Canis lupus familiaris: one gene and its partners. The protein of the gene in region 7 interacts with the protein of the main gene of each other region in a biochemical or structural test. Links are inferred from orthologs where the notes say so. Each region holds a gene or a part of one and is shown on either strand. Other genes may lie near its edges. The genes, in order: CEBPG, SMAD4, DDIT3, RB1, EP300, KAT2A and CEBPB.

Region 1 (3,500 bases), on a different chromosome or scaffold from region 7:
TCTCCTCAGAGATGATGTCCCTGAACGTACGGGGAAATCTAGGCTCAAACGCACCTCTTGCCGCCCTGCCCCGGGCCGGGGCCAGGAGACGGCCGAGCACCGCCCGCCTTTCCGAGCTACGGGACCCCTGGACTGCTTGCAGGGGATGCCAACACGAAGAAACCCACAGTGAGATAGTCATTATTCCAAAGTTTTTTTTATTTCAAATTCATTGAAAGAAATAAAATTATATTTAAAAAAATAGAGTAATCTCACAAACCGAGGAAAGCCAGGAACAAAAAAAAAAAAAAGGAACAAGTTGAGGACTTTTTCCTGAGAGGAGGTCTAACAGCTATAGAATGGACTTTCCCCTCCCGAGCTTTTGTCAAACAGAAAAGTTGCTTCCTATCTCTAAGGCATCGAAAAAAGCACGCTGAGTGCTAACTGGGTTGTTCAGGTACAAAGTGTCAGGCCCTGTCATGGGGACTGAGAAACCTCGGAGGCTGATTTAATACCAAATATTAAACTGCACATACTACTTTTCATCGTGAACTGCAGAGTGTCACACTTGTGGCCCTAAATTTCAAAAATCCGGTCATATTTTATTAGGATCTTACTACTACTTAGTAAGACTGTCCAAAGTCTCTGAGCTCCCATTCCAGCCACCGAAAGGGGCCAGACAGCAGAGGAGCCGCTCCCACCTCACCACCTGCTGCCAACACCAGCCGGAAAGCACCCGCCTCCATCGCGGACTCAGATGCAGCCAGACATTGACCCTAAAAGCCTAATTCCTAAACCACTGGACCTGCCGGCAAAGGCAGATCAAAGCCTAATGGGTCATATGTGTGACCTACAGGACTTACAAAAGCCATTTTATAAATCCCAAAGCTCTAGACTTCCCATCCCCCACACCTGGTTTCCCTCAGTGATACTCCTACATCTATCAAACTGAAAACTTTCATTCCCAGACACTTCAGTGAGAATCAAGACGACGGTTAACCCTTCTGTCCGATGCACACGTGACCGCTTGTGCTCAAGTTCTGATGTGCACGGTAACCGGAAAGCGTGAACCATTTGTTCCAGAAGTTTCAATTCAATGTTCTGATTTGAAATCTCAAGTGCACACCCCTGACGATTTCCCTGAAGCTGCTTTTCCAAGACAGTTAAGTCAGTTCACCTAACTGGTGACCATAAATTCCATAGGGACAATTTCTGAAAGACATTTTTTTAGTGAACAAGGGACTACAATGTGGAGCCTAAAAATTCGGGGGACCTAACTGCACCTCTAATTAGGTTAATTATATAACATCAATCAGCTATTAAAGATTCAGTAGGATTCTGTGGGTTACCTCCTAGTCAAAATATCTGTCAACCCAGAAGTAGACTGATACTCCAGCCGAAGTAAACTGGTGTTGGACCCTAACAGAAACCTCCATCCTGCCTCCTGGCACTCCAGGGAGTCACCCCTCCTGGGACAGTAGCTCTCACGGAACAACACTGGGTTCCAGTCACATGCGGCAGAGGCTCATGGCCGCAATAATGGCTTTGCTGAGTTGCAGGTCACGGTGGTATTTTCGCCTGCCCCAGGGGTACAGACAGCACTCTTGCACCAGCCCAACGTGCAACTCGGGTTACATCCTGGTTACACTGTTCCAGGCCCTAGTATGAAACCATATGGTCAAAAAATAAGTGGCCATGTTCAAATTAGATACCTGGTAACACACACTTTTTTACTCAGATGGGACTCAGCCTCTTGTCACCAGCCCAGCCACACACACACACACACACACACACACACACAAATGCCAACAAATCTGAGCTAGAATTGTGCTTTAAAAAAAAAAAAGAAAAAAAGAAATCTACAAGAACAATCAAAACCACCAACACTGCTATGAACCAGACCCTAGCGATCCCCGACTTGTGATTGCCATTTTTTTAGTCTCAACAAAAATGTCATTATCCTGAGTTTTATCAGTATTTTCTTTCTAAAATAATTTATGGGACACAAAAGCATACAAATGAACAAACAGAAGCAGTGGTACAAAAAGTCTAGAAGAGCCCACTAACTAGAAAAAGAAGCGTCACAAGAACAATATAAAAAGATGTATTTAAATGAAATAAATTAAAGGTTAGACCTTACGCTTTCAAGTTTTCTTAGACTATTATCTTGGGAGACGGCATACAGTCGATGATATATTGTTCTAATAATCACTTGGTTAAGATCAAACGCCAAATGATCCTTCAAAGAAATTTTTGCCTTTAAAAATCATGGCCCCATTGCAGATATTTAGACACAGGAGAAACTACCTAAATCCCAATTACTAAACTGTTAAGGCATCTGTCTACTAACTTAGCTGTCAAAATGGTATTTTAAAAATATTCACTTACTGGAAACAAAAATTTTGGTACACAAGTTTATCTCTAAACTCTTGGGGGTTTTTTGTTGTTATAAAACAAAATAATGCGAATCTAATAACCCAAAGGTATCCTGAAAGCATAATTCTAATATGCTTTACCTTTATTTTTAGGAAACCTATTTGCCTCCTAATTATTTGTATTTTTAAGCCAACTGGATATATACTGCCTTAAAACACAATGGAATTTACTTAACCTGGCACTGCTACTCAAAAACTACACTTGTTGGGGGAAAACAAATTAGGCTAAAACAAGGTTCACGTCATACATAAAATCACTCCAAATTACAAAGTGATTGATTTCTAGAGCCCTAAGGATTTTTAATACATAATTTAGAAAAAAAATCACAAATACATTAACATAGATGGCATTCAACTTTTCTTAGCCTAATTAATCATCTCCAATAAAACCAAGACCCTCCTGCAGGACCTGCTAGTTCCCCATTCCTTTTATCAACCTAAAAAAGAAGCATTTCTTGGGAAGTGAGGGTTTATTAAGAACATCAAGGTCTAGGGCTCTTGGTTTTTTGGTTTTCTTTTTACCATATACCTTAAAAATTTGCTTTATCCCCACAAAAAAAATCGTATCATTTAAAACTAGATATCCAAATTACATGGCTAACATTTTTAGCTAATCAACTCTTCAGTGCTGATCCTAGAAAACAACCTTCAGTGGATCTCTGAATGATGAACAAGACAATGTTCGGCCACTGATGCGAGCGGTGCAGGTAGTCACACCTTTAGCGTTCAAGCCACAAGTCGTGAAGTCGGGAAGGGGTGAGTGAGGTCTACTGTCCCACACTATCAGAAGTTGCTGTTGTATTTTCAGTGCTAGTGGGTTGCACGTTGTCTGCAAGGTTGTGTGCATGCTCAAGAAACAAATCTTTCAGTACGCTTAACTCCTTAGTCAGCAATTTAATTTTTGCCTCCAACCGTTCATTCTCTTCTTTGAGCTGATTCACTCTCTGCAGCGTATCCTGTGCTTTCTGCTTGCTTTTCAAGCGGCTCTTTTTCACAGCCATGTTGTTCCTCTCTCTGCGCTGACGATACTCATCACTGTTGCGATCCATGGGCGAACTCTTTTTGCTCTGCTTGCTTGGGGGCACG
Region 2 (3,500 bases), on a different chromosome or scaffold from region 7:
ACGCCTCATAACCTTCTCTCGCCTAATACACTGAATAAACCTTCCCCAATGTAAGTCTGAGAGTTCTACCGACTGCAAGTGTCTTCAATCAAATAACTTAAAACATGTCCCTTAGGTAAAACTATAGGTATCAAGGATAGATATCTGCAGAATATTTTTGCCAAGAGAAAAAAAGTTGGTTACAAAACACCATTGTACACTATGATCACATGCATGTTTAAAAAATCACATTCTGTAATTAAAAAAGCAAGGTCCAGAACAAGTGCACAATATGCTTTTAATGTAAGAAAAAGAGGGAAATAATACATGTTTTTTTTGCATAAAGAAACCCTGGAAGGAAACACCAGAAACTAATAAAAGTGATTACCTGAGGTAGGGGGGAATGGGGGCAGGGGTGGGAGCACTTCTTTTCACTGTATACCTTTTTATAGTATTTTGATTTATGGACCATGTATTGCCTATTCAAAAAAATAAAATTAAAAAAACATATAGTATATATTTTTTAAGTCCAGAATAACAGACACCAAACTATTAGCTATTTCTCTTTATGGACTAGCATTCAACAAATTTATTCACTGAATAAATATTTATTGAGTACTGTTCTAGTACCTGGGACACATGAATAAAGAAAAGAAAAATTTCTTTCATGGAACTTATACTACAATATTTTTTTCCAATATTTTTTTATTGTTTAAATATCTAATATCGAGGACACATTACTCCAGCTCCTCCTGTCTATCATGATCTTCATCTCATCAAGCGTAGATAATGCCACCTTCCATGTGGGAGTATAACGAGAACAATGAAGCAATACTTGTAACTCGTACAGCTCAGTTCTGGACAAAAAGTCTGTACTTATCAAGTATCAGCTGTTATGCTTTAACCATACTTTTACAGCAGTCATACATATAACTGTAAAATATTTTATGAGGGGTAAGAAATGTATAAGGGACAGAAAAGCTGAAGCCACTGGACTCACCCCAAGTCAGTGTTCTTATCCCCACCAGCAGGCAGAGCACAGCACTCGTCTGATGCTATTGCTGTCTTATTTACTTTGTCTTTCCTCCACTAAACTATTAGCTACCTAGTGTGGAGAAAACACACCTTACTTATCCTATCGTCCCTAGATCCTAACACAGTACCAAGCAATACATGCTCACTAAACATCTCTTAAAATGAATATGCAGACTGATGTGGTCATGGAAAGCTTCACAGAAGATATGAAATAGGCTGGAAATGATTACCCTAAGATTCCAACTCAAAAGTGAAGGAGTTATCCCATTTTCTTAACTTTTTCTTTACCTGGCTTTATATTATTACTCTGTCCAAATCTAGATGGGGATGTGGAAAACACCTGTTGTTTTTTAAGGAAATAAGCCACTGAAACTGGCCTTTACAAACCACCACTAGGGGGATGTGCAAGGCTAAAACAACCCTTAGAGCTACTAAAAAGAGCCTATCACCCCCACACACAATCTGACCAAAGATGACCAAAGATAGCTACTCATAACAGCAACATGTTAGGATAAGGGGGGAGTGTAATGAGTCTTCAAAACTGGATCTCCTCACAACCACTCCCACTAAGGAGATTCTGATATAGATATCACTAGAGTCCCCCAATCCTTAACCCCTGCTGAGCTAAATACTTTAATTCTCCAAAAGCATGGGTGGAGAATGGTGAAGATCTGAAGGGTATTTACTTTCAAAGAAAAAAGAAGACTAATATTAATGTAAATTGTAGTAAAGAGGCAAGACTTAAACCAATCTTAGAGCTACCCTTCCAGACCACTACCACATTACCAATCCATGTTTTCAGAAACCTACTAACCAGTAACAAGTACCAAAAGGGACTGGAGTCTTCCTCTATTATAGCGACATGGAAGAAAGGTGAACTATAAAAACAAGTAGACTTTCAAGCTCTTCCAAAATTTTGTTTAAGGTTAGATGTATTTCTGACCCACCTCTAAGATTCTGCAACAAGTACCAACCCACTGTTCCTCCAGAACAACTGCACATCTTTCTAAGATAATGGTGGTTCTTTATCAGAGTTTCTCTTCAAATTAACTGCTTACAAAAATTTTAGTTCATATTCTAAGTAATAAAACTAAAGTTTCAACAGATCTCTGTTCTCAAATATTACACTAAAAAACACCACCCCTCATTGATTTCATTTCCCTACCTCAAAACATGCTCTTTTAAAAGAGAATTAGATAATCTATGAAAGTTAAAGTAGCCTTGTTTCATTTACTCAAAAATGTAACAAGAAAAAAATATTAACATATGTAGTTTTAAATCATGCTTAAAATTATCATTCATAAAAAATAGGGAAAAACAAAGAAAAATTAGAATATTAGTATTTCTTAAAGGACATGCTATATATGACTCCAAATTACCAAACATTATAGGTATTTATATTCATTTAAATTGGCTCTGTAAGATTTTCTTCCAAAATGATCAGTTTTTATCAATTCAAAAAATATTCTTTCTTCATATGTTTTATATTCCCCTATCATATTTTTTAGGTCACTCCAGTGCATAAATGGTAGTTCAACAAACCACCAGGCTATTTAAATTCAGTTTTAAATACTGATGTGTGCTCCCAAAGAACTGGATTTCCAAAGCAGTAAGTATTTTTCTTGTAAATATTACCAGCATCCATACAAACTAATTTTAGGTCAATAAAAAATAGAGGGAACAGGATAAAGAAGACAGAGAAAGTTACAAGAAACAGATTACCTACCATTACTCTGCAGTGTTAATCCTGAGAGATCTTAATTTTTTAAAAGGGAAAAGAAAATGAAACATTAATCATTACCATGAAAATATTTTCCACTGTATTTAAAATTACAAAGTATAAATTTAACCCAGAGATTCAACACTTCACAAACCATTTCAACTCAAGAGTAGTAGTGTAAATGCTATCTGACGATACATAAACTATTCAATTCTATAATGCCTTCCACCTTATTTTTCAAAACCAATATTCTAGATGAGCAGAACATGAACTATAGTGTATACTTAGTTTTAGCAGTCAAAATACAAGTCTATTCTAAAGTTTAAATTTAAATATTTATATTTCATTAAAAATATCTGATTCTTAACCTTAGCTGAAGTCCTGGCTCTATCCAAATTTATAATTTGGCATAGAAAAATTAAAACAGTATCAAGAACTTTTCCCTTCATGCATCTGAAGATAAAAGCAAAGTCTACTTACCAATTCCAGGTGATACAACTCGTTCATAGTGATATGGATTCACACAGACACTATCACATTTTAAGTCAAATGCATACTGACAATATTTAACATGTTTGAGTTCATTTTTATGAAGATCAGGCCACCTCCAGAGACGAGCATAGATCACATGAGGAAATCCTTTCCGACCAGCCACCTAAGAAATATAAATGATCACTTATAGATTTTTTAAAAGATTTTATTTATTTATTCATGAGACACACACACAGAGAGACAGAGAGAGAGAGAGAGAGAGAGAGGCAGAGAC
Region 3 (3,992 bases), on a different chromosome or scaffold from region 7:
TCGGCCGGCCCCGCCCTGCGCAGTCGCGGCCCAGAGGGTGAGTGGGAGGGAGTGGGAGGAGGGTCGGCGGAGCCCGAGCCTCCGGTACGGCCCCGGCCGGTCCTAGCAGGAAGCGCCGCCGCCGCCGCCGCGGATCACCGAGCGGCCTCCCGCGCATGCGCCATGGGGGCCAGGGGCAGCCCTGGGGATTCCGTTCCCAGAAGGCACCGCGCAGGCTGCCGCCGCCGCCGCCGCCGTCGCTGCCGCCGCCGCCGCCGCAGCCGCCGCCGCCGCCGCCGCCGCCGCTGCCCGGACGGGAGAGGGGCGGGGCCGGGCCCCCGCCCAGCGGACAACGACGAGCCAACAGGAGGGGCCGCAGTGCGCATGCGGGAGCGCGCCTACCCCTCCCCCACAACCCCCCATTAATCCCCAAGAGAACAAACACCCCACGCGGCCCCCCCGCCCTCCGCGGAAGGATCTGAGCCTCTTCCCAGGCCACCGGCGGCCAATCCCAGCCCTCCCCGGGGAGGGGCCCCTTCCAAAGCCACAGTCTGTCGGGGGAGCCAGGAATGCCGGGTCCGGGAGGGGCCGGCCCCAAAAGATGAAAGTCGCGACTTGCCCTGCCCCGCCCCAAAGGCTTCCCGGGTAGTGTGCTGGGACTTGACCCGCCTCCCCAGGTCAACATGTCACAACAGGACCTCCGCCTGTCAAGTCACATGACCTCTGCCTGTCACTGACAACCTGGTCATGTCTTTGGGCCAGGAGAGACCATCTGGTCCAACCCACCCCCACCCCCATCTACTGAAGGGGAAATGGAGGTCTGGAGCAACGGAGCAGGCCCGGCCGAGGACCTGTCACCGTCACACCACCACCTAAACCTCCTTGCAGCCACAACCGGCCTTGTGACAGATTCTACTTAACTCTGGCTGCCCCCGTGAGGGTATGACAGTGAATACAACCGGCCGCCACATGGCATCTTTTTTCTCTCTAATGGCACAAGAAAAACGTTTGCATTTTAAGCGATGCTTTTCACTTTTGTTTAAGCTGCCTCCAAGTTCATAGTGCTCTCGTTTTACCTTCACAACTCGTCATCCTTTATTTACAAACAAGAACGGTTGTGGCACAGATATTAGGGGGCAAGTAAAGGGGCAGGTGAGGCCAGACTCTGGGCTCCTGACAACCCGGTGCAAGGCGGCTGCGCGCTCAAGTGCACCCAACGTCCCAGGCAACGAGGCTCTAAGGTCGCCCGAGCACCGAGGCGGCAGGCGGCGGGTGCACGGCTCCTCACGCAGGAGTCACAGGACCTGCGCGGCTGGTACAGCGAAAAGGGCGGGTCTTGATCCTTGGTGGAGGCACCAGAGTACGGGGGGGGGGGGGGGGGAGGCTGAGAATCGCGTCCACCGGGCCAAGTCCTGAATCCTGGCATGCTGAGCGCTCATCAGAAACTTCACAAAGATAAAAGTTAGGGGTGCTTTTCGGCGAGGAGCTGAAAATGACCATCAAAAGTACTCAAGTTCCTCGGCCCCTTCTGGGGGAATTAGGGAGCTAAACGGGATCTTTCTATGCGCCTACTCGAGGAGACGTTAGGCGGTCCTGTGGCTGCATGCAAACTTTCAAAAGAGATTGGCTTAGAAGACCTCGCGCCCACTAACTAGGAGGGGACCGAGCAAAATGGGAGCCCCCCATGCAGACGGCGAGGCGGGGGCTAACGCCAGGTGGGCGGAATAAGGGCGCCGAGGAGGACGAGCCGCAGCGCGGCTTCGCAGGCAGCCTGAGGGCGGCCACGGTTGGGAGCCGTTGGGGCCGTTGGGAGCCCGGCGCTGGCGCCCCGCCCTCTCCTCTCCCCCACCCCCCCGCACCGCCCACCACCCTCGTCGGCCCCTGCGCGTGCGCGCCGAGACACCGGTTGCCAAACATTGCATCATCCCCGCCCCCCTCTCCTCCCCTCCTCCCCTCCCCCCCAGCTCTCCCCTCCGCGCGCGCGCATGACTCACTCGCCTCCTCCGCGGAGCCTCGTGACCCAAAGCCACTTCCGGGTCCGACACCACCTCTACCCCCGGGCCGGCGGGAGCGAAGGGGGCGGCGCCGCGGGGGCTGCTGAGTGGCGGGCGCGGGGGGCGGGGCGGGGCCAGCGCCGGCGTGCCGCGCCCTGATTGGCAGGCTTGCGGGCCCGCCCCCGAGGGGAGGGCAGGGCCTCCTTAAAACATCCGCGCTCGGGCCTCCGAGGTCAGAGGCTTGAGTGTAAGGCACAGAGCGGATCATGTTGAAGATGAGCGGGTGGCAGCCACAGAGCCACAGTCAGAGCCGGAACCTGAGGAGAGAGGCGAGTACCGATCCCACCTGCTCTTTACCCTCTAGTCCTCGGGGATGCTGGTTGTCCCTTCGAAGTTGGGGCATCAGCTGCTCAGGATGCGGCCCCACCCGTTCCCCGACGAAGTTAGTGACAGTTCGAGGGAGGGACGGGGAGCATCCTTTATCCGGGAGTGGTGCTTACAGACCTCTCTTCCCTCGGACGGGAGCGGCGCCCCACCCTGCCCGGAGCGCGGGCCCGGCTCTGGGCCGTCGGGCTAAGGGGTCCGGATGCCCTCGGGAGACTCCCTGTCTTCCGCTGCTGCCCTAGGCCGCCTCCTTGGTCCTGTCCGGTGGGAGGCGGGGCGGCAGGACACTCCCCCACGCCGAGACGCCTGGATGGCTCTGGCTCACGCCCTTGCCGCCACTTTCCCACCAGCGGCCCTGCCCCTACCCCACCCCCAATCCTGTCTCAGCCCAGCGTCTCAGGGCCAGAGTGGCCACGTCGGTGGATGGAGCTCCTGGGTCCTGCACAGGACAGCCATTCCACACCCTAACGGAGAAGAGAACCTTAAGGAGACAGACTCCAGACTTTGGGAGGAGGAGGGATGCCAATGGCTAGGGAGCAGAGATGGGTTTTCCCATTCCCCCAGAGGTCCCGGGGGCCTCCTGCACAAGAGAGCATTCTGGATCCCTTAAGTGTGGGAAGCCATTTGGGGTCTCCCCAGTGTAGGGTCCTTCCGCAGGGATTTGTCCCTGCTGCTTTCCCCGCGTCCTGCCTCCCAGCTAATTTCTGTGTAACCGTTGCATCAGGCCAGCCCCCTGTTTGGCTCTGCAGCCCTCTGGCCTGGGGCCCCACTGCTGATGAAAGCGGCATCCCACACGCTGGAAGGCAAGGAGGGTCCCCCAGGGAGGACAGCCCTGAAGAGAAACACTCTGGGAGATATTGCATCTCCAGTCCCCAGGGCTGGGCAGCTGCTGCTCTGCCTCTGGGCTTCCTCCTCCCTTCCCTATGAGACACTGGGGAGAATTCTTTCATTCTTCACAAATTACTTATTACACACCTGCTATGTGCCACACATTTTAGGCCCAGGATGCATCTACGAACAAGGAAAAGACCTGTTCTCACAGAGCTTACATTTCGTGGGAAAAGGTGCACAGCGAACAAATATAGAAGTGCCAAGGAGAAAACCAAAGCATGGAAGGGTAGTGAATGCCCAGGATGTTTACCTTGAGTCATTAGAGATTCTCTCACAGAGGTGACATTTAAATGAAACTTCTGAAAAGAGGCAAAGTAGTAAGCTGTGCAGATTTGTGAAAGGAAGAGCTTTCCAGGAGAAAGAACAGTGAGAACAGAGGTCCTAAGGTGGGAGTGTGCAGAGTTTAGGGAGCAGGCCAGCTGGACGGACTAGAGGGAGAGTGGTCAATGAGAAATCCAGGGCAGGGAAGGAGATTGTGTGGGGCCTTCTAAGCCATATTAAGGACCTTTAGCCTTTAATATTCATGAACTTTAGTCCTTGAAGAGTTTTGAACAGACTGACAGGACCTGACTAGAGTTTTAAAAGGCTCACTCCAGGGATCCCTGGGTGGCGCAGTGGTTTGGCGCCTGCCTTTGGCCCAGGGCGCGATCCTGGAGACCTGGGATCGAATCCCACATAGGGCTCCCGGTTCATGGAGCCTGCTTCTCCCTCTGCCTGTGTCTCTGCCTCTCTCTCTCTCTCTCT
Region 4 (4,102 bases), on a different chromosome or scaffold from region 7:
TTACCAATACTCCATCCACAGATGAAACTTTCTCCCAAGTTAACCAAGCTCTTTCTCTGACATGATCTGGTATCTTTAATTTCTGACATAATGCAGTAAAATCGGGTTCTTCGGTTTCTTCAAACACAAGCCTACCAGATAAAAACAGACATATAATGGGGATATATTTAGAAATCAAACTAAAAGTAAACATTTGCTTCAATGGTTTGCATATAACAAACATCATTATTCTGAAAAAAGGCATTACTAAGTACTTTAAAATCTTATTTATCTTTGAAAAAAAATTACAGAATTTAAATGTTTATTTTTTTCATAGTCCTTCCAACAAATATACAACACAGTGAAAGATGTTTGTTGGCCTGAATCACATACACACCAGAACAGCAAAATAGCTTTGGAAAAGTAAGTAAGTATGATAGCTAACGCTGTATGGGAAAAGCGGGATGACAATAAGAGCAAAAAGAAGAAAGCCCATTTATGATATTGCAGAATCAATTTAGTATCAGCAATTTTGCTAAAATGCAGTCTACGCTTATCAACGTCTCATATAATCTCTCTACCTATAAGCATTTCTCACGTAATAAGAAACTTAACATGAATTCCTGCTATTCTTATTTCAGCCTTTTCTCTTCGATCTTCCTTACCCAAGATAGGTAGTCAATAGTTTCTTGTTGGCTAGCTCCCTTTCATTCTCTTAATGTCTATTTGACACCTAATAATAATATAAGGAATAGCTAATAATTTTTGAGTATTTACTCTGAGCCTGTGTGAATAAAGTATCTTAAATGTATAGTTTCAGTGGAATCCACACATGGGCCTACTAGATAAGTACTCTTATCCTTGTTTTACAGACAAGTACCAAATAAGAAGTTAAAGGACTCACTTGAGGACATGGCCAGTAAGTGGGAAACCCAAGTCTAACTCCATGATCCATGCCCTTGACCACTATGCCAGACTGGTAAACCTCCTTCAGAGCGTAATTAACTTTGATCATGTCAACAAGGAGGGTGCACTCTTGCTCCTAGTGAAGGTTTCCCTTCCAACATTCCCACTTAGGCCAGATATAATGCAACAGAGAGAAGATCTCAGCTTCAAGGTACAGACAGATTCCATCACTGAAAATGCAGGTGGAGCGGGCCCTGAATCCATCCCTAAGCAGGACGCTTGGCTTTGGATTGCCAGGCACTAGTTTCACCCTTGCTAAGCAGCTAGTCTACACAGTTCAACTGCCCGTACTAGCAAAACCTTTCGGGGGGTATGGTTAATCAAGAGTGGAGTGTATCCTGTATGGTTTTACTTACAGGAAAATTTTTTATAGTTCCATCATTTAAAAGTAAATAATGCAATGTTGGGGTGGGGAAGAAAGGCCTTCTTTTCCCAGGTGGGGGCCCTAATTTGAATATTTCTGGTTACCCTACAATAATCCAGAGGACGCTTCCAAAGCTCCGTGGTAAACATGGAACTCTTTATAGAGTAGATTTACTGCTTTTTCCAAATGAAAACGTTCAAGTACTGGACACAACAGAGCTTAATCAGAAATTAAATTTGCTTTCAGAACAGCTTGACTGTTTTTCCCCCCAATTAGCGAGTGTGATTTTTAACTGACCTGTAAGACAACCCATTTCAACATATGTATTTTTAACAGCTTTTCACAGGCCATCCCAGAAGCCCATTCCAATCGTTCACAATCTATCTGAACCCTGTTAGTGTCTAGCAAGTTCAAAGAATAGGGCTTAGTAATGGACTAGAACAGGTGAGGAAGCGGTGAGGAAAAGAAAGCAATCCCATTCTCAAACAAAACAAAACAAAACAAAACAAAAAACAGGTACTCTCAGAGTGGTGGAACCAGGACTGGCAAAAATAATGGCAATCATAGTCTTTCAGTCTTAGGTTCTTAACCATAAAGTACCACGATCGTGAAAAATAGGATGCTGCAACAGAATAAGTCCTCCCTGTCACGTTCTACTGTATTATCACAGTAGTCGCCTAAATTTAGAGACCACTTGGTGGTGCTGGTGCTGGTGGTGGCGCTGGTGGTGGTGCGGGTGGTGCTGGTGCTGGTGCTGGTGGTGCTGGTGCTGGTGCTGGTGGCGGTGCTGGTGCTGGGGGGGGGGGGGGGGGGGAGAAGTGTGCTGTGAGCACGGGCAGCTCACGAACTCTGCAGCCCAAGCGAAACAAAACAAGAGCAGGCGCGAGGATGTGTCCGGGCTGGAAGGCAAAATGGAAGAAGCGCTGCAAAGCGCCGAAGACGGATACCGAGGCTGTGCAGGGGGACCACGGAGAGGGAGCGGAGGCAGGCAGCGGCGCTCCAGCGGGGCGCGTCGCGGGGCTTGCCCGGTGCCGAGGCCTGGAGCCGCGTCGCCGCCGCCGTGTCCGCGGGAGGCCGCCCGTCCCCCGCCGCGTCGGCCGCCGGCTCCGTGTCCGCGGGCGCGGCGGCGGCACCTGTCACCGGGCGCGGGCGCCCGACCCCCCCCCGCCCGACACCTGTCAAGCCGGCGCCCGGCCCCCGCCGACACCGCGCCCGCCCCGGCCCCCGCCCGCGCCCGCGCCCGCCCCCGCCGCTCTGGGCTCACCCGGGCAGAGGCGGGTCGTCGGGGCCGCTGTCCTGCGCCGGGTCCTCCTCGGGCGGCGGCGGCGGCGGCGGCGGCGGCGGGGCTTCGGCGGCGGCGGCGGCGGCCCTCCGGGGGGCTTTGGGCGGCATGGCTGTCCGCGGGCCGGCGGCGGGGCGGGGCGCGGCGCGGCGCGGCGCGGCGGGGCGGGGCGGGGCGGGGCGGGGGGCGCACCTCGGGGCCGCCCCGCTGCGCGCAGACCCGGGGAGCGGCGCCCGGCGGAGCCCACGAGCCCTCCTCCCGCCGCCCACCGAGCGCCGGGCCAGCCGCGCGAAAACGTCACTTCCGCCCGCGGCGTCACGTCCGCGAGCTCCGGGGCCGCCGGCGGCGGGACGGACGGGGCGCTCCGGGGGCGCGGGGCGGCGGCGGGCGCGCGGCGGGCGGGGCCTGCACCCCCGCGGCCCCCGGGACGCGCTCGCCTCTCCCGGCGCGGGCCCGACCCCCGCCGCCCTGGGCCCCGCTCCGGCGGCGGGCGGCGGCGGCGCCGTATCTAGCGAGCGCACCCCGGGGGCACGCCCCGCCGCGCCCCCCCGCCCCGCGACACCCCGCCGCGCGCCGCGCCCTCCCGCCGCCTCCGCCCCGCCCCGCCGCGCCCCCTCCCCTCCCCGCCCCTCCCCGCCCCCTCCGCGCCGCCCCCCCGCGACCCGCGTCCGCGCCCTCCCACCGCCCCGCGACCTCCGGCTCGCCCCCGCCGAGCCTCCCCCGCGTCCCCGCCCCCTCCGCGCTGCGACCCCCTCTCCCCTTCTCCCCGTCTCCCCGTCCCCCCGTCCCCGACCGCCCTCCGCTCCCCGCCCCGCCCCCTCGCCCCTCCCCGCCCCGCCCCCGCTCCCGCTCCCGCCCAATCCGCCCCGCCGGATCCGCCAAAACAAAAACAACCGTCTGCGGAGCCCCCCGGGCCGCGAACGCTGGCGACGCCGGGAGACGGCGGGACGCGCGGGGCGAAGCACGGCCGCCCTCCGGGACCTGCGCGCGCAGACGGGGCCGGGGGCAGAGCCGGTGAGGACCTGAGCGCCCGCCCGCCGCGGCCCCCGGTGCCCCCCGCAGGCGCCGCCCGCCGTCCCGCGTCCGAGCATCGCCCTCTCCGGGTGTCCCTCGGGAGTAAATGAACTTTCATCTTTTTTTAAGTCAGGATTGTATTTAATATTTTATTTATTTATTCATGAGAGACACAGAGAGAGAGAGACGCAGAGACCCAGGCAGAGGGAGAAGCAGGCTCCACGCGGGGACCCGACGCGGGACTCGAACCCGGGACCCCGGGGTCACGCGCTGGTGAGCCACCCCCCACCCCCGCCCGGGCTGCCCCGTAAACGAAGTTTTAAAAACCGCGCGCGCGCGCACAGAACCGGGAGGGGCCGGCAAACTGTAAGGGGCATTTTCAGAGAAAAAGCGGCAGCTGAATGAATGCAAGCCCGCCCGGCCCGCCCGGCCCGGCCCGGCCCACGCGGGACGAGCGCCCACTGTGTGCCCGGCGCGTGCTGGGCCTCAACCAGTGA
Region 5 (3,500 bases), on a different chromosome or scaffold from region 7:
CCCTCACATCTGTGCTCTCGTTGCTGGTGTTTTCTTCTCGCTTTCGCTCTTCTTCCTCCTGTTCTAGCTCCTTAATGCTCTCTTCCAGAACGTTGGGCCAGAAATCACCCTCAAAGTAAGGCAACTCCTTTGCACTTGTTAATCGATCTTCAGTAGCTTGTTTAAAAATATCCTGTGAAAATACCAGGTACAAGTAGGAATTTGGTTTTTTTTTTTTTTTAAAGAAGCATTTATCATTCAGAAGCAGTCACAGCTAGCAGACACAAGAAACCTGAAGGATTATAATGTCTTCTGAAAGAAAGGCAGCAGAGAGATTTATACCTAAGCCCCATGGCCCAGGGGGACATTTAGTCTTAAACAGTAAAAACTCAAGGTCTGAGGTCAGTGGTTCTGGTTCTGTCTTTCCTCTGCCTGTGAGGATAGGGAAGTTACCTGCCTTTATAAAGCCAAGTGGGACATCTTCCTGCGAGGACTGATGGCTCAGGCCCCATCAATCACGCCGCAGCCTTTACTATTGCTGATGACACAATGCAATACAATGTGAGGAATGCCTGCCTTGTTCCCATCACCCATCCCCTGACTGAGAAATATGTTCAAAACAACCCAAACCACAAATACTGGAAACTGCATGGCCACAGGCTGCTCTGCTCTGCTGCCTGGGAAAACATCCAGTTCTTACTTTTCTCCCCAGGAGTAAAAACAGATAAGAAACTTATCTGTTCAAGTTCTTATCATGAGATGCCCTCTAATCATGAATGGCTATTAAGAATACGTTTTTCATCACATCTTTAAAACAGAGATTTGTTGATCTAAGACATTTAAAACTGAGTTTTTCTTGGTTTGAAAAAGGGAGTACAGAAGATTTTTGTTAAGATAGTCAAATAGCAGAATACAGAGCTGCAGGATCAGTCATCGCCCCCCATTCCTCCTGACCTTGTAGTCATGGACGATTCGCTCAGACACAGCCTTGTCAAGCATCTTTTTGTACCACTCCTGTAGTCGCTTGGGCTTGGGTATCTTCTGGTCAGGAGGATGGCAATGGAAGATATAGTCGTCTCCCTCACTTGGGGGACATGCCCAAATATGTCCTGTTGTATATCTAACAACACAAAGAGGGGGAATATTCAAGAGAAAAGTTTATCATCTATTCCAGAAAGAATGCTACAACGTGGAGTCAATATGGAAACCAATGATTTTTTTTCTAAGACAATATCAAGTGTACAACCCAGAATCAGATCGAAATTCTTAGGCCAGATTCAGGCCTAACCTACAGCACTTACAATGGGTGTCACATTGCCTAGTTCTTCTTAGAGGCTAACCCTGGATTCCCAAATCCCAAATTTGCATGTGAAGACAAAAGAAAAGCTACAATGCAAAGGAACATGGATCCATTCCAACAACACGGAACAAGGAATGGAAGAAAGCTAAGTGATAAAAGGAAGAACTTGCAAGGTGCGGTAGTGAATGTTCTCAAGCACACGTATACCCTGAAGGTAAAGAATCAGGCTAATTTGAGTATTTCCAGACCCTAGTCTATTTTGGTTCTGATACCTAGGTATGAGAGGGTCAACTGCAGTTCAAGGTTCTGGCCCTGAATGAGTACCAACCTTCCAATCAAACTGTACCTAACACCTTAACTGAACAAAAGAAAACTAATCTGGGATAAGTATGACTAGGGTCAACATATCCATTTCTGTCCGACTGGCAACACTGAGAAAAGGGAACAAAGTCACCTCTCTGCTTTAATCTAAGTTTCACCACAATACCACAGTGGTAATTAGTTAAAAATTTAATTAGTTTAAGCTCATTGTTTTTAAAGATAGCATTTGTCAATATGCTTACCCTAATTTCTTGACGTATTCTAAATATCCAATTAGAATTTCATGATAGACTGCAGTCCTCAAGCATTTAGGACGGAAGAAATGAACACTGTCAAGGTAGGATATGTAAACTCTCCTGTATCAAGTGGGGAGAAAGAAACCATGTCAAGTCACATAAGGAGTTCTTACTAATATGGCTAAAAACACAATCTCCTCTGTGCTCTTTTTCACCTCATTTATAATACACATCACACAGTCACAGTTAAGTACATGACTAGGCTGTGCACTCTTTAGGAGAGTCTGGTGAGCCTCAGTACCCAGCAGCGCTTGAAGCATAGTGTATTAGTATTTATGGATCCAAGTGTATTCTGGTAGCATTCTTATTCTGGCCTTTATACTATTTTGGAAACAAATTCTAAACCATATCCTAACTTTACTTGTGTGACATTCTTTCACATTATCTCCCAGGCAAGGCACCTAACACAATCAAGAATTAAGCCCATTTTCTGAAAAACAGTCTGCTTCCCACTTCTCATTTCAGGCTGTTTGATACTCCTCCTTATTACTATGAACACAGTTTGCATTTCCATTTCCAAAGCAAGTACATCAAATAGTTCCTTGCCCACAATGCTTTTTGCCTATTGAACTGCAAACTCCCACTCAACTGGAAGGCAGTGGGCCAAGTCCTACCTCTGGTTGGGTGGAGGGCAGTCGGAGCCATACTCCTGAACGTGCATGCCGAAGAAGCACAAGTCAACACCGTCTATCTCTTCAAAGGCAAAGAGGGCTTTGGTTCGGTAAGGAAAAGACTCTGCCATCTCTCCGCTATCTACAAACCTACATAATCCAGATTGGAAAGAAAAACACGAGGTCTCAGTTAAACCAGAATCATCAGCAATTAACTGTCAAGTGCTTGTAGAACCACAAGAGAAGAAAAGGGAAAATTATTGGATACCTTGCTTTCATGCCTGGTTTCACTTCCACAGTTTTATCAGAAGCATGCACTACCCGAACAGTGACTTCTCCCGACTCAGGGTGATTCTGACGTCTAAGAAAATCATTCACACGATTCTCCAGAAAGGTGCCAAGCCTGGTAGATGGCAACCCTAGAAGTGCAGAAGTGAAAAGTTCTGCAGTTAGCCAAGGTGCAAATTCATTATTGTTAACTCTTAAGCTTCAATATCAAATATCATTTTTGTATTCTCCGTCCAAATAGGATAACCTGATTTTGTTAAAAGTTAGCAATGTGATCAATACTTGAAAACCATCGTTTTTTAAAAAATAGGAGCTACTTCATGAATTTGTGTGCCATCCTTACATAGGGGCTATACAAATCTCTGTATCATTCCAATTTTAGTATATGCGCAGCTGAAGCAAACATGGTAGTGAATTTTAGGTGTTTTCCACCCAACTTTTTACTTGGAAAATCTTCTAATTTCAGAAGTCACAAAATACAACATCCACATGCACTTTGGCTTGATTGCAGTGATATTTTAAAATAACAATGGTTGGATATTATGAGAAGCCTTATAGGAATAAAAAGCAATCTGTAGGTCAGTAAAAACTGCAAAGGTATCCACAAAATTAAACCAAATATTATAATGCAATAATCTCGACTGTATACAGGATACAATCTTTTTTTTAAGATTTTTATTTTACCTATTTGACAGAGAGAGAGCT
Region 6 (4,287 bases), on a different chromosome or scaffold from region 7:
TACGTGGCAGTAGCAGAGCCATCTGCGGGCAGAGGGGAGGTAGGATGGAGAATGGAGACACTAAACCCAGGTTGGGCTTACGAGCACAAGCACCCCCACCCCTACCCCCTCCCCCACCCCCCGCTGGCCTTGGCCAGCCCTACCTGGTATAATTGACCTTGTAAGTAGCCACATCCTCAGCCTGAGACCGCTGCCGAAATTGGGCAGGAGTCTCAAGCTTCCAGTAGTTAAGGCAGAGCAGGAACATCTTTGAGAGTTCAAACATCGTCTGCCGCTCCCGAGGAGCCAGGTGACTAAACTTATACTGCACAAAGTTCAGCACACCCTGAGAAGGGGTGGGTAGGGAACAAGACCAGGAAGGAGACGTGAGCGGCCAGCAGGGGTTTCTTATACAAAATCTGGTGCTTCCTGAGGGCAGGCTAAAGCTCCCCTCTCACTCGGGCTCTCTGTGAAGAAAAATTGTGCCCCCTTCCCAGCCCCATGCCCATCTTGAACATCCTCCCTTCTCTGAACCTGTCCCTTGTTCTCAGCTTGAGGAAGATGGGGAACACAGGCTCCTCACTCCTCCAAGATGCCCCCAATTCTCTTACTACCTTCCTCATCCCACCTGCTCAATATTAGGCTTCTCAAATGGGGGACTGCCCAGGGAGCCCTCCACCACTGGCCGGGTCATCTGCAGGATGCATTTCCGCAGGAGCTGGAGGAAGAGGAAGAGGGAGGAGTAGAGGTCAGTGGAGCTCAGAGCTGCAAACTCCCCAGTCCAGCCCCACCTCCTTTGCTCATTCACACTCACTTGGATGAAGCTCACCTTGAAGAGGTAGAAATAGACCTGCTTAGTGTCCGTGTCCTCCTCTTTGTGAACAGACATGAACAGGTTCTCCACGTCTACCACCATACCCAGCAGCCGGTTAATCTCATCTTCTGACACATTCTCCAGGTGGGACACGTGGTCAGCTGCAAGAAGGAAAGGTGGTAGGATTGGAAAGAAAGGATAGATGACGAGAGCTCTCTCTCACTCTTCATCACCAATTTACAACCTTGGTAGCTCCAAACAGCATGACCAGTAGTGAGACTGACTGCTACTATGTCAGCCTTGGGTGGACCCTGTCTATTCCGGGCTGGCAAATTTCCTTTCTCTTCCCTTGGGAGGGATACATGTTCCCAACCCAATCCCTCCTTCGGAGGCATTTTTGGTTCCAAAGATAAAACTCAGTGGCACTTAAATTATCCTGTCCAAGCAGGCCCCAGGACCTGCCCCCGCCCCAGCTCCAAGGGCACTACCTGCCTTACCCAAGGGGTGCTCACAGCTGCGGCACAGCTCGCTCAGGTTGGCAGCTGGCTGCTGCAGGTCCATGCGGGGTGCAGTGGGGGGCTTGGGGTTTTTCCAGCCATTACACTTGCAGGTTTCATTGGCCTGGCGTTAGAAAACTCGGTCAATAGCCCTGTAACCGGGCACGGGGAGCCGATCCCCAGCCACAGATTTGCCCCCATTCCCACCGGAGCCCTGGGATGCCCCAAGCCCCGCCCCTTCTCACCCCAGGCCCCGCCCCCACCTTGCAAGCCGAGAAGACCCCTAGCTTCTCAAGCTTCTTGGCGCGCGGCAGCCCCCGGACTTGCGCCTTCCTCTGGCTGGCGCGCTGCTGCTGGCTCAGGCCAGGTCGAGCCGGATCCCCTCCGCTCCCGGTCCCCCCACTTCCTACCCCGGGACCCCCAGTCCCTGTGCTGCCGGCTGGGGCTGCAACTGGCGCGGGGGCTGGTGCCGGAGTGGGAGCCGGAGTCGGGGCTGAAGCCGGGCTGGGGGCAGGAGTCGGAGGTGGGGCAGGGGCTGGAGACTGAAGGGGACGGGGCTGCGTGGCCGGAGCCGGGGTCGAGGCCTGGGAAGGTTCCGCCATGGCCTCCCCCGCAGCGGAGCGCGGCGCGGCGCTCCTAGCCCTAGGGCCGCATGGGCAACCGGCGCTCGGTGCGCAGGCGTCGCTGCGCCGGAGCATGATGGGAGTTGTAGTCTTCCACGACCGCTCCCTCCGTTTCTGGCTTCCAGACTTTTCTGTCCTGCCTCTTGGCCCCAGACAAGCAAGTGAAGCCTGAGCCATTACCCTAGATTGTCTCCTCCTCACTTCTAATCTCTTTGAAGTCTTATGGGATAGCGAGGATTGCCGTTTTCTTGGGGACTTGGAGGAGCATCTGAGAAAACAGGCTCCTGTTGAGGGGAATCACAGATGCTGCCCGGGGTCGTGTTGGCTTCCGCCCCTCCACCCCCTGTCCCTGTCCCACACGTCTGCGGACACGGAAGTGCAGCCACAGCGGAGATTAAGAAGCAACACTTCCATTTCTTGCCCCGTGGAGGTGGCTACATGGGGGTGCTCTCTGGGGGATAATTCAGTGGTACTCTCTGGTGCGCTTCTTCTATTATGTTATATTTCAGCAATAAAGGATTATCATAAAAGCCGTGAGCGCCTGAAGGCAGGGTTCGCGTCTTCCTTCTGTCCCAGAGCCCAGCCCTCAGGCGGCCACAGTAGACCCAGAGTCTGACGAATGAAGGAAACCAGGAAGTCGCGGTCACCTCCTAAGCCCCGTGTCACAAGACCGTGCGCGGTCAGGATGGAAGACCCTCACGGTCACACCCCCGGGCTCGGTTCAGGGGACAGCCCTTCTTGTCCTCAGGCCTGATTCTGGGAAGGGCAAGAGCCCGGCTCCATCTCGCCTCCGCCCTGCGCTGGTGAGCGCTACAGGGTCGGCTGGTCTGCGCTGGTGGGTCACCGCCCCGGGAGCCAGGATGAGAGCAGCAGTGGCGCGCCAGGGCGGTGACCACCAGGCCTGCGGAGACCGGACTGGCGTAGCAGGCGGCCGCGGAGGAGCGGAGGAGCCAGGCCGCCCCAGGGCCTCTCCCCAGGGCGCGCAGCCGCACCCCCGCCCCCCCCCCCCCCCACGCCGCCGCCGCCACCGAGCGCCCAGAGCCACGCCCAGGGCCTCGCGCCCTCGCCCTCGGACAGCAGTTGCTCAGTCGGATGCAGCGGGTTGGTAGCGGTCTCCCCAGCGGGAGCCAGGTGGCATCCCGCTGTCCCAGCGTGGCCCTTGCCCAACAGAACCAGGTGGCCACACTGCCCGTACGGCTCCTGAGGGACGATGTGGTGACTGCGCAGAACAACTTCCATGCAGAGAATGGCTTCCAGATGAAGGTGGATGCCTGTGGCTTTGCCCCGGAGGAGCTGGTGGTGCAAGTGGACGGCCAATGTCTGATGGTGACCGGCCAGAGGCAACTGGAGGGCTGCAGCCCAGATGGGGCTGGCTACCGTGTGGCGCAGAGGGTGCATCGGCAGATCCAACTACCACCGGACCTGGATCCCACTGCCGTGACCTGCAGCATGACCCCCTCCGGCCAGCTGTGCGTCGGAGGCCAGTGCCAGGGCGCTGCCTTCCCAGGAAGCCCAAAAAGGCCCATCCCCGAGACTCCGAGGCCATGGCTCTAAGAAAGGTCAACCTACCCTGACCCAGTAAACAACAATTCTAGTGTGCAGCAGCAGCCTTGGTGTTCTGTGGTCTTTTCTTGGGGTTGGGATCAAAGGTGGAGGCATAATGGAGGTAGAGAGAGGGCCAGTGGAGGGCTTAGGGAGGCAGGAAAAGCACTTTACGGTGGTGGTCCAACAAGAATCAGGCCTCTGTGGCCCCGGGAGGAGCTGGGTCCGGGGCTCAGTAGACCAACAGCCCTGTGCTGGGCAAATGACAGCAGCAGCTCCAGCAGGGAGCAGCAGAGGGCCAGGATGGCAGCGGGGGCACCAGGCTCCACAACCAGCAGAGGGCCCCGGCAGACCAGAGATCAGATAGATACAAAGACTGGACTTGATGTGGGGTGGTCTCTTGGTCTGAAGACCAGGCAAAGGTTCCAGAGATCACCTGGGAAGAGGATGAGAAGACCCAGTCCTTCACAAGGTACAGACTAACCAAAAAACCCCAAGAGGTGGTTTCTGTTGTTTCAGAGACCAACTATTTTCAAATACAAACTGCACATCACCCCAATATAATCTGGAGGGGGGTGGGGGCAAGGCTAATACAAGCCCTCAATTTCAAACTTGGGGAGATTCAGCTCTAGGTCACTCTCACCACCACCACCCCCTTACAGCTGGTACCAGTAAGGGCCTCTTTCTCTTGGTTACCATAACCACTAGCACCCCTCACTTTGGGGGAGGGAGGGAAGCCATTGTTCAACAAGATGCAGTGGTTCATTTTAAATTAACTTCAAGTAAGCTAGAGCGGATATGGTCTGATAAACTCTGCCAGAGAAAGACAAGG
Region 7 (3,579 bases):
TCTTCCTACATAATGTGGCCTGCTAGCCGGATCCCCCAAACACCGGACCCTACAGAGGTCACAGACGTACAGGTCCCTCCCTCTAAACTCAAGCCTGGCACTCGGGACAAGCCGACCTCTTCCCAAGCAGGGTTCCGGGTCACTCCTCCCCAGCACTCAGGGGCGCTGAGTCACCCTGAGAGCCCCAGAAACCTGGCATCCCCCACCTCCAAGCACAGACCCTGGAGGGAGCAGCAGTGGAGGGAGGACCAAAAAAAAAAAAAAAAAAAAGCACACACACACACACGACACAGCTGTTAACACCGCCACCCAACCACCAAAAAACCCCCAAAATAATAGAAACCCCCCAACACACAACAACCCCACCCCCCCCTACCCCCCCACACACCCCCATCCAGGAAAGCACATCTAAAATCATCTAAACCAAAAAATAAATTAAAAAAAAAAAAATCGAAAGCCAACTACTGCCCCCAAAAGGCTTTTAACCATTCTCCAAAAAAAAAAAAAAAAAAAAAAAGTTTATTAAAAGTGTTCTTAATGCTTGAAACGGAAAAGATCCCCAAATATACAGACGCCTCTTTTCTCATAGAAATAGATTATTTTTTTTATAATACAAAAAAAAAAAAAGGACCAAAAAACAACAACATCAACGACATCAACAACAACAACAACAACAACGCATCAACAGCAACAAGCCCGTAGGAACATCTTTAAGCGATTACTCAGGGCCCGGCTGACAGTTACACGTGGGTTGCGTCAGTCCCGTGTACACTCGCGTTCAGCCATGTTCGAGCCGATTGCATCAACTTCGGAACCGGCCCGCCCGCCGGCGCCCGGAGAGGAGGCAGGGGAGGCAGCGAGCCTGTCACTCATCTGTGCACATAGACACGTCTTCTTTAAATAACACCACGGGCGGGCGCCCCGTCTGCATGTGCGGTTGGTTTGGACAAAAATATAGATATATATATATATATAATAAAATATTAAAATTACCGACGAGCTCCCCGCGCCGCCAAGCGCCCCGGTGCCAAAGTTTCGCCGGCGCCCCGGGGGCGGGGGCGGGGGCGGGGGCGGGGGCGCGGGTCCCCGCGGCGCGGCCGGCAGCGCGCGGGCAGGCGGGCGGGCGCGCGGGCGGGCGGGCGCGCGGGCGGAGCGAGCGGGCGGCCGGCCGGCCGGCGGGGGGCCGCGCGCGGGGGCCGCGCTAGCAGTGGCCGGAGGAGGCGAGCAGGGGCTCGGGCAGCTGCTTGAACAAGTTCCGCAGGGTGCTGAGCTCGCGCGACAGCTGCTCCACCTTCTTCTGCAGCCGCTCGTTCTCGGCCGTGAGCTCCAGGACCTTGTGCTGCGTCTCCAGGTTGCGCATCTTGGCCTTGTCGCGGCTCTTGCGCACCGCGATGTTGTTGCGCTCGCGCCGGATCTTGTACTCGTCGCTGTGCTTGTCCACCGTCTTCTTGGCCTTGCTCTTGACCTGCGAGGGCGCCGGCGCCGCCCCCGCGTAGCAGGCGGCCGGGGGCGCCTTGGCGTCGGCGGGGCTCGGCGTGCCGGGCGGGCTGGACGACGAGGACGTGGACAGGCTCCCGCTGCTGCCGCTCGGCACCGCCTGGTAGCCGAGGTAGGCGCGCAGCGCGTACGGGAAGCCAGCCGCCATGCCTGCGGCGCCGCCGCCCGGCGCCCCGGCCTCCTCCTTCCGCTTGCAGTCCGCGGGCTCGAAGCCCGGCTCCGCCTTGAGCTCGGCGGGCTGCGGCGGCGGCGGCGGGGGCGGCGGGTGCAGGGGCGCGAAGCAGCCGGGGTGCAGCGCGCCCTTGGCGGCCCCCAGGCGCCCCAGGCTCACGTAGCCGTACTCGGACGCCTTCTTGCAGTTCTTGCCTCCGTAGTCGTCGGAGAAGAGGTCGGAGAGGAAGTCGTGGTGCTGCCCGGAGGAGGCGGGCGCGGGGGCGGGCGCGGGCGGGGCCGCCTCGAAGGTGTCCGTGGCTGTGGCCGGCGCCGGGGCCTGCGGCGCGCCCAGCGGCTCCAGGTACGGGCTGAAGTCGATGGCGCGCTCGTGGTCGCCGATGCTGCCCAGCTCGCCGGCGGGGGGGCGCGGCCCGGGTCTGGCCGCGGGGGGCGCCGCGGGGGCCGCCTTGCCGCCGTACGCAGCAGCCAAGCAGTCCGCCTCGTAGTAGAAGTTGGCCACTTCCATGGATTTAAAGGCGGGCGGCGGCGGCAGGGGCAGACATGCTGGGTCCCAGGCCACCAGGCGTTGCATGAACGCGGGTGCCCGGGGAGGGGGCCTGGGGCTGCCCGCTCCGGCCGGCCCGCAGGTGGCGCGGCCTCCCGGCTCCGACCGTGGCCGCTGGGTCGCCGCCGCCGCCGCCGCTGCTGCCGCCGGGGGGCCGCTGCCGCCGGGGGGCCGCTGCCGGTGCGGGGGCTGACGGCTGGACCCTCGCGTGGGTCCTCTTCCCGGTCCCGTGCGCGGCTCTGACTCGCTAAAGTTTCTCCCGAGCCCGGTTATTTATAAGGCGACCCATGGCAACGGCTGCGTCACGCTGGCAGCCGCCCCGGCCCCTCCCGCCGCCGCCGGGACGCGGGGTGGCGGCCCGAGACCCCCGCGAGGGCGCCGGCGGGGCCCGGCGGCCCGACCCGAGAGCCGGGGCGCGCCCTCGGGGGGTCCGCGGGCCCGCGGGGGGGCGGCCTGACGCCCCCTGCCCACCCCCACCCGGCGGCGCGGGGATTGGGAGCGAGGAGGGGCGGCGCGACCCCGCCCCCGGACCGCCCCCTCCGGGCTGGAGGCCGCCCCGGGGGGGCCGCGGGGAGGGGGCAGCGCGACCGCCTTCCCCCTCCCGAAGCACGGCCGCCGCCCGCCCCCTGCTGGAGGCGGCGGAGGCTTCGGGACCCGCCGAGCCCGCCCGGACGCCCCACGGAGGAGGCCGGCGCTCCCCAGGCCGGATCCCGGAGACCCCGGCCCCGCCCCGGCCCCCCGAGAGGTGACCCACCTGCACCGTCCTTCCCCCGCGCGGCCGGCCCCTCCCCGCCCCAAAACTTGCTCCCAACCCCAGCCCTCGGAAGGAGGGGATTCCACGCTGGGGGAGGCCCCCCGCCCCTCCTAAAGGCACGTCTAACGCAAGGACCCCGGTGGGGGGCACTTCGGGGGAGAGCCCCACCGGGACCTCGGCCGCGGCGACTGCGCCGCCCCCAGCCCCGCCCACCGGCCCTGCCCGCCCCCTTAGACCACACCTGGGTCTTCTCTGGCCCCACCCGACCCTGACCTGGGCCCAGGGAGGTGGAAGGGGGTGGGTGGGGGGTGCTCGGCGGCCACGCTGCGTGACCTTGGGCGAGTCACTTCACTCCAAGCTCCTTCCATGAAAGTGCTGTTACGGTTATTATTATTAGTTGTATCATTGTCTCCACCACGGACTCCCAAACAGAAGGCTTAATTTAAGTTTGAGGTCCACTCTGGGAGGCACATCAGAAAGAAGCCACCTCCCTCCCACAGGGTACAAAGAAGCCCGGGGGGGGGGGGGCATAGGACACCCAAGGTCACAGGGCCTCATGTCCCCCACTAGTCTTAAAAGCTCTTATCAGAGCACCCTAAGACCTTTTTGC

Evidence for each region.
Region 1: the proteins of CEBPB (region 7) and CEBPG form a complex in vitro, tested with the Homo sapiens proteins (2 studies listed by BioGRID and IntAct, with this or other methods). The link is inferred for Canis lupus familiaris from reciprocal best matches to the Homo sapiens genes CEBPB and CEBPG.
Region 2: the proteins of CEBPB (region 7) and SMAD4 form a complex in vitro, tested with the Homo sapiens proteins (2 studies listed by BioGRID and IntAct). The link is inferred for Canis lupus familiaris from reciprocal best matches to the Homo sapiens genes CEBPB and SMAD4.
Region 3: the proteins of CEBPB (region 7) and DDIT3 form a complex in vitro, tested with the Homo sapiens proteins (2 studies listed by BioGRID and IntAct, with this or other methods). The link is inferred for Canis lupus familiaris from reciprocal best matches to the Homo sapiens genes CEBPB and DDIT3.
Region 4: the proteins of CEBPB (region 7) and RB1 form a complex in vitro, tested with the Homo sapiens proteins (2 studies listed by BioGRID, with this or other methods). The link is inferred for Canis lupus familiaris from reciprocal best matches to the Homo sapiens genes CEBPB and RB1.
Region 5: the proteins of CEBPB (region 7) and EP300 form a complex in vitro, tested with the Homo sapiens proteins (2 studies listed by BioGRID). The link is inferred for Canis lupus familiaris from reciprocal best matches to the Homo sapiens genes CEBPB and EP300.
Region 6: the proteins of CEBPB (region 7) and KAT2A form a complex in vitro, tested with the Homo sapiens proteins (2 studies listed by BioGRID, with this or other methods). The link is inferred for Canis lupus familiaris from reciprocal best matches to the Homo sapiens genes CEBPB and KAT2A.

The regions. Positions count from the first base shown.
Region 1 is NC_049222.1:119,619,417-119,622,916, forward strand, and holds the end of CEBPG (CCAAT/enhancer-binding protein gamma), read right to left. Parts: coding exon 3,182-3,500; 3' UTR 177-3,181; downstream 1-176. UniProt on the Homo sapiens protein: Transcription factor that binds to the promoter and the enhancer regions of target genes. Binds to the enhancer element PRE-I (positive regulatory element-I) of the IL-4 gene. Binds to the promoter and the enhancer of the immunoglobulin heavy chain.
Region 2 is NC_049222.1:24,020,640-24,024,139, forward strand, and holds part of SMAD4 (mothers against decapentaplegic homolog 4), read right to left. Parts: intron 3,390-3,500; coding exon 3,215-3,389; intron 2,771-3,214; coding exon 2,741-2,770; intron 1-2,740. UniProt on the Homo sapiens protein: In muscle physiology, plays a central role in the balance between atrophy and hypertrophy. When recruited by MSTN, promotes atrophy response via phosphorylated SMAD2/4.
Region 3 is NC_049231.1:1,963,493-1,967,484, reverse strand, and holds the start of DDIT3 (DNA damage-inducible transcript 3 protein), read left to right. Parts: upstream 1-1,192; 5' UTR 1,193-1,294; intron 1,295-1,973; exon of another isoform or gene 1,974-2,056; intron 2,057-2,152; exon of another isoform or gene 2,153-2,302; intron 2,303-3,992. UniProt on the Homo sapiens protein: Multifunctional transcription factor in endoplasmic reticulum (ER) stress response. Plays an essential role in the response to a wide variety of cell stresses and induces cell cycle arrest and apoptosis in response to ER stress.
Region 4 is NC_049243.1:3,171,427-3,175,528, forward strand, and holds the start of RB1 (retinoblastoma-associated protein), read right to left. Parts: upstream 2,801-4,102; 5' UTR 2,702-2,800; coding exon 2,574-2,701; intron 1,746-2,573; exon of another isoform or gene 852-1,745; intron 403-851; exon of another isoform or gene 317-402; intron 132-316; coding exon 5-131; intron 1-4. UniProt on the Homo sapiens protein: Tumor suppressor that is a key regulator of the G1/S transition of the cell cycle. The hypophosphorylated form binds transcription regulators of the E2F family, preventing transcription of E2F-responsive genes.
Region 5 is NC_049231.1:25,041,750-25,045,249, forward strand, and holds part of EP300 (histone acetyltransferase p300), read right to left. Parts: intron 3,200-3,500; exon of another isoform or gene 3,098-3,199; intron 2,927-3,097; coding exon 2,776-2,926; intron 2,658-2,775; coding exon 2,511-2,657; intron 1,957-2,510; coding exon 1,843-1,956; intron 1,100-1,842; coding exon 934-1,099; intron 173-933; coding exon 8-172; intron 1-7. UniProt on the Homo sapiens protein: Functions as a histone acetyltransferase and regulates transcription via chromatin remodeling. Acetylates all four core histones in nucleosomes. Histone acetylation gives an epigenetic tag for transcriptional activation.
Region 6 is NC_049230.1:20,651,115-20,655,401, reverse strand, and holds the start of KAT2A (histone acetyltransferase KAT2A), read right to left. Parts: upstream 2,801-4,287; 5' UTR 2,091-2,800; coding exon 1,554-2,090; intron 1,415-1,553; coding exon 1,291-1,414; intron 955-1,290; coding exon 809-954; intron 698-808; coding exon 608-697; intron 326-607; coding exon 144-325; intron 23-143; coding exon 1-22. Other genes in the region: HSPB9 (heat shock protein beta-9), read left to right, coding at 3,006-3,467. UniProt on the Homo sapiens protein: Protein lysine acyltransferase that can act as a acetyltransferase, glutaryltransferase, succinyltransferase or malonyltransferase, depending on the context.
Region 7 is NC_049245.1:37,284,672-37,288,250, reverse strand, and holds CEBPB (CCAAT/enhancer-binding protein beta), read right to left. Parts: upstream 2,341-3,579; 5' UTR 2,243-2,340; coding exon 1,202-2,242; 3' UTR 501-1,201; downstream 1-500. UniProt on the Homo sapiens protein: Important transcription factor regulating the expression of genes involved in immune and inflammatory responses. Also plays a significant role in adipogenesis, as well as in the gluconeogenic pathway, liver regeneration, and hematopoiesis.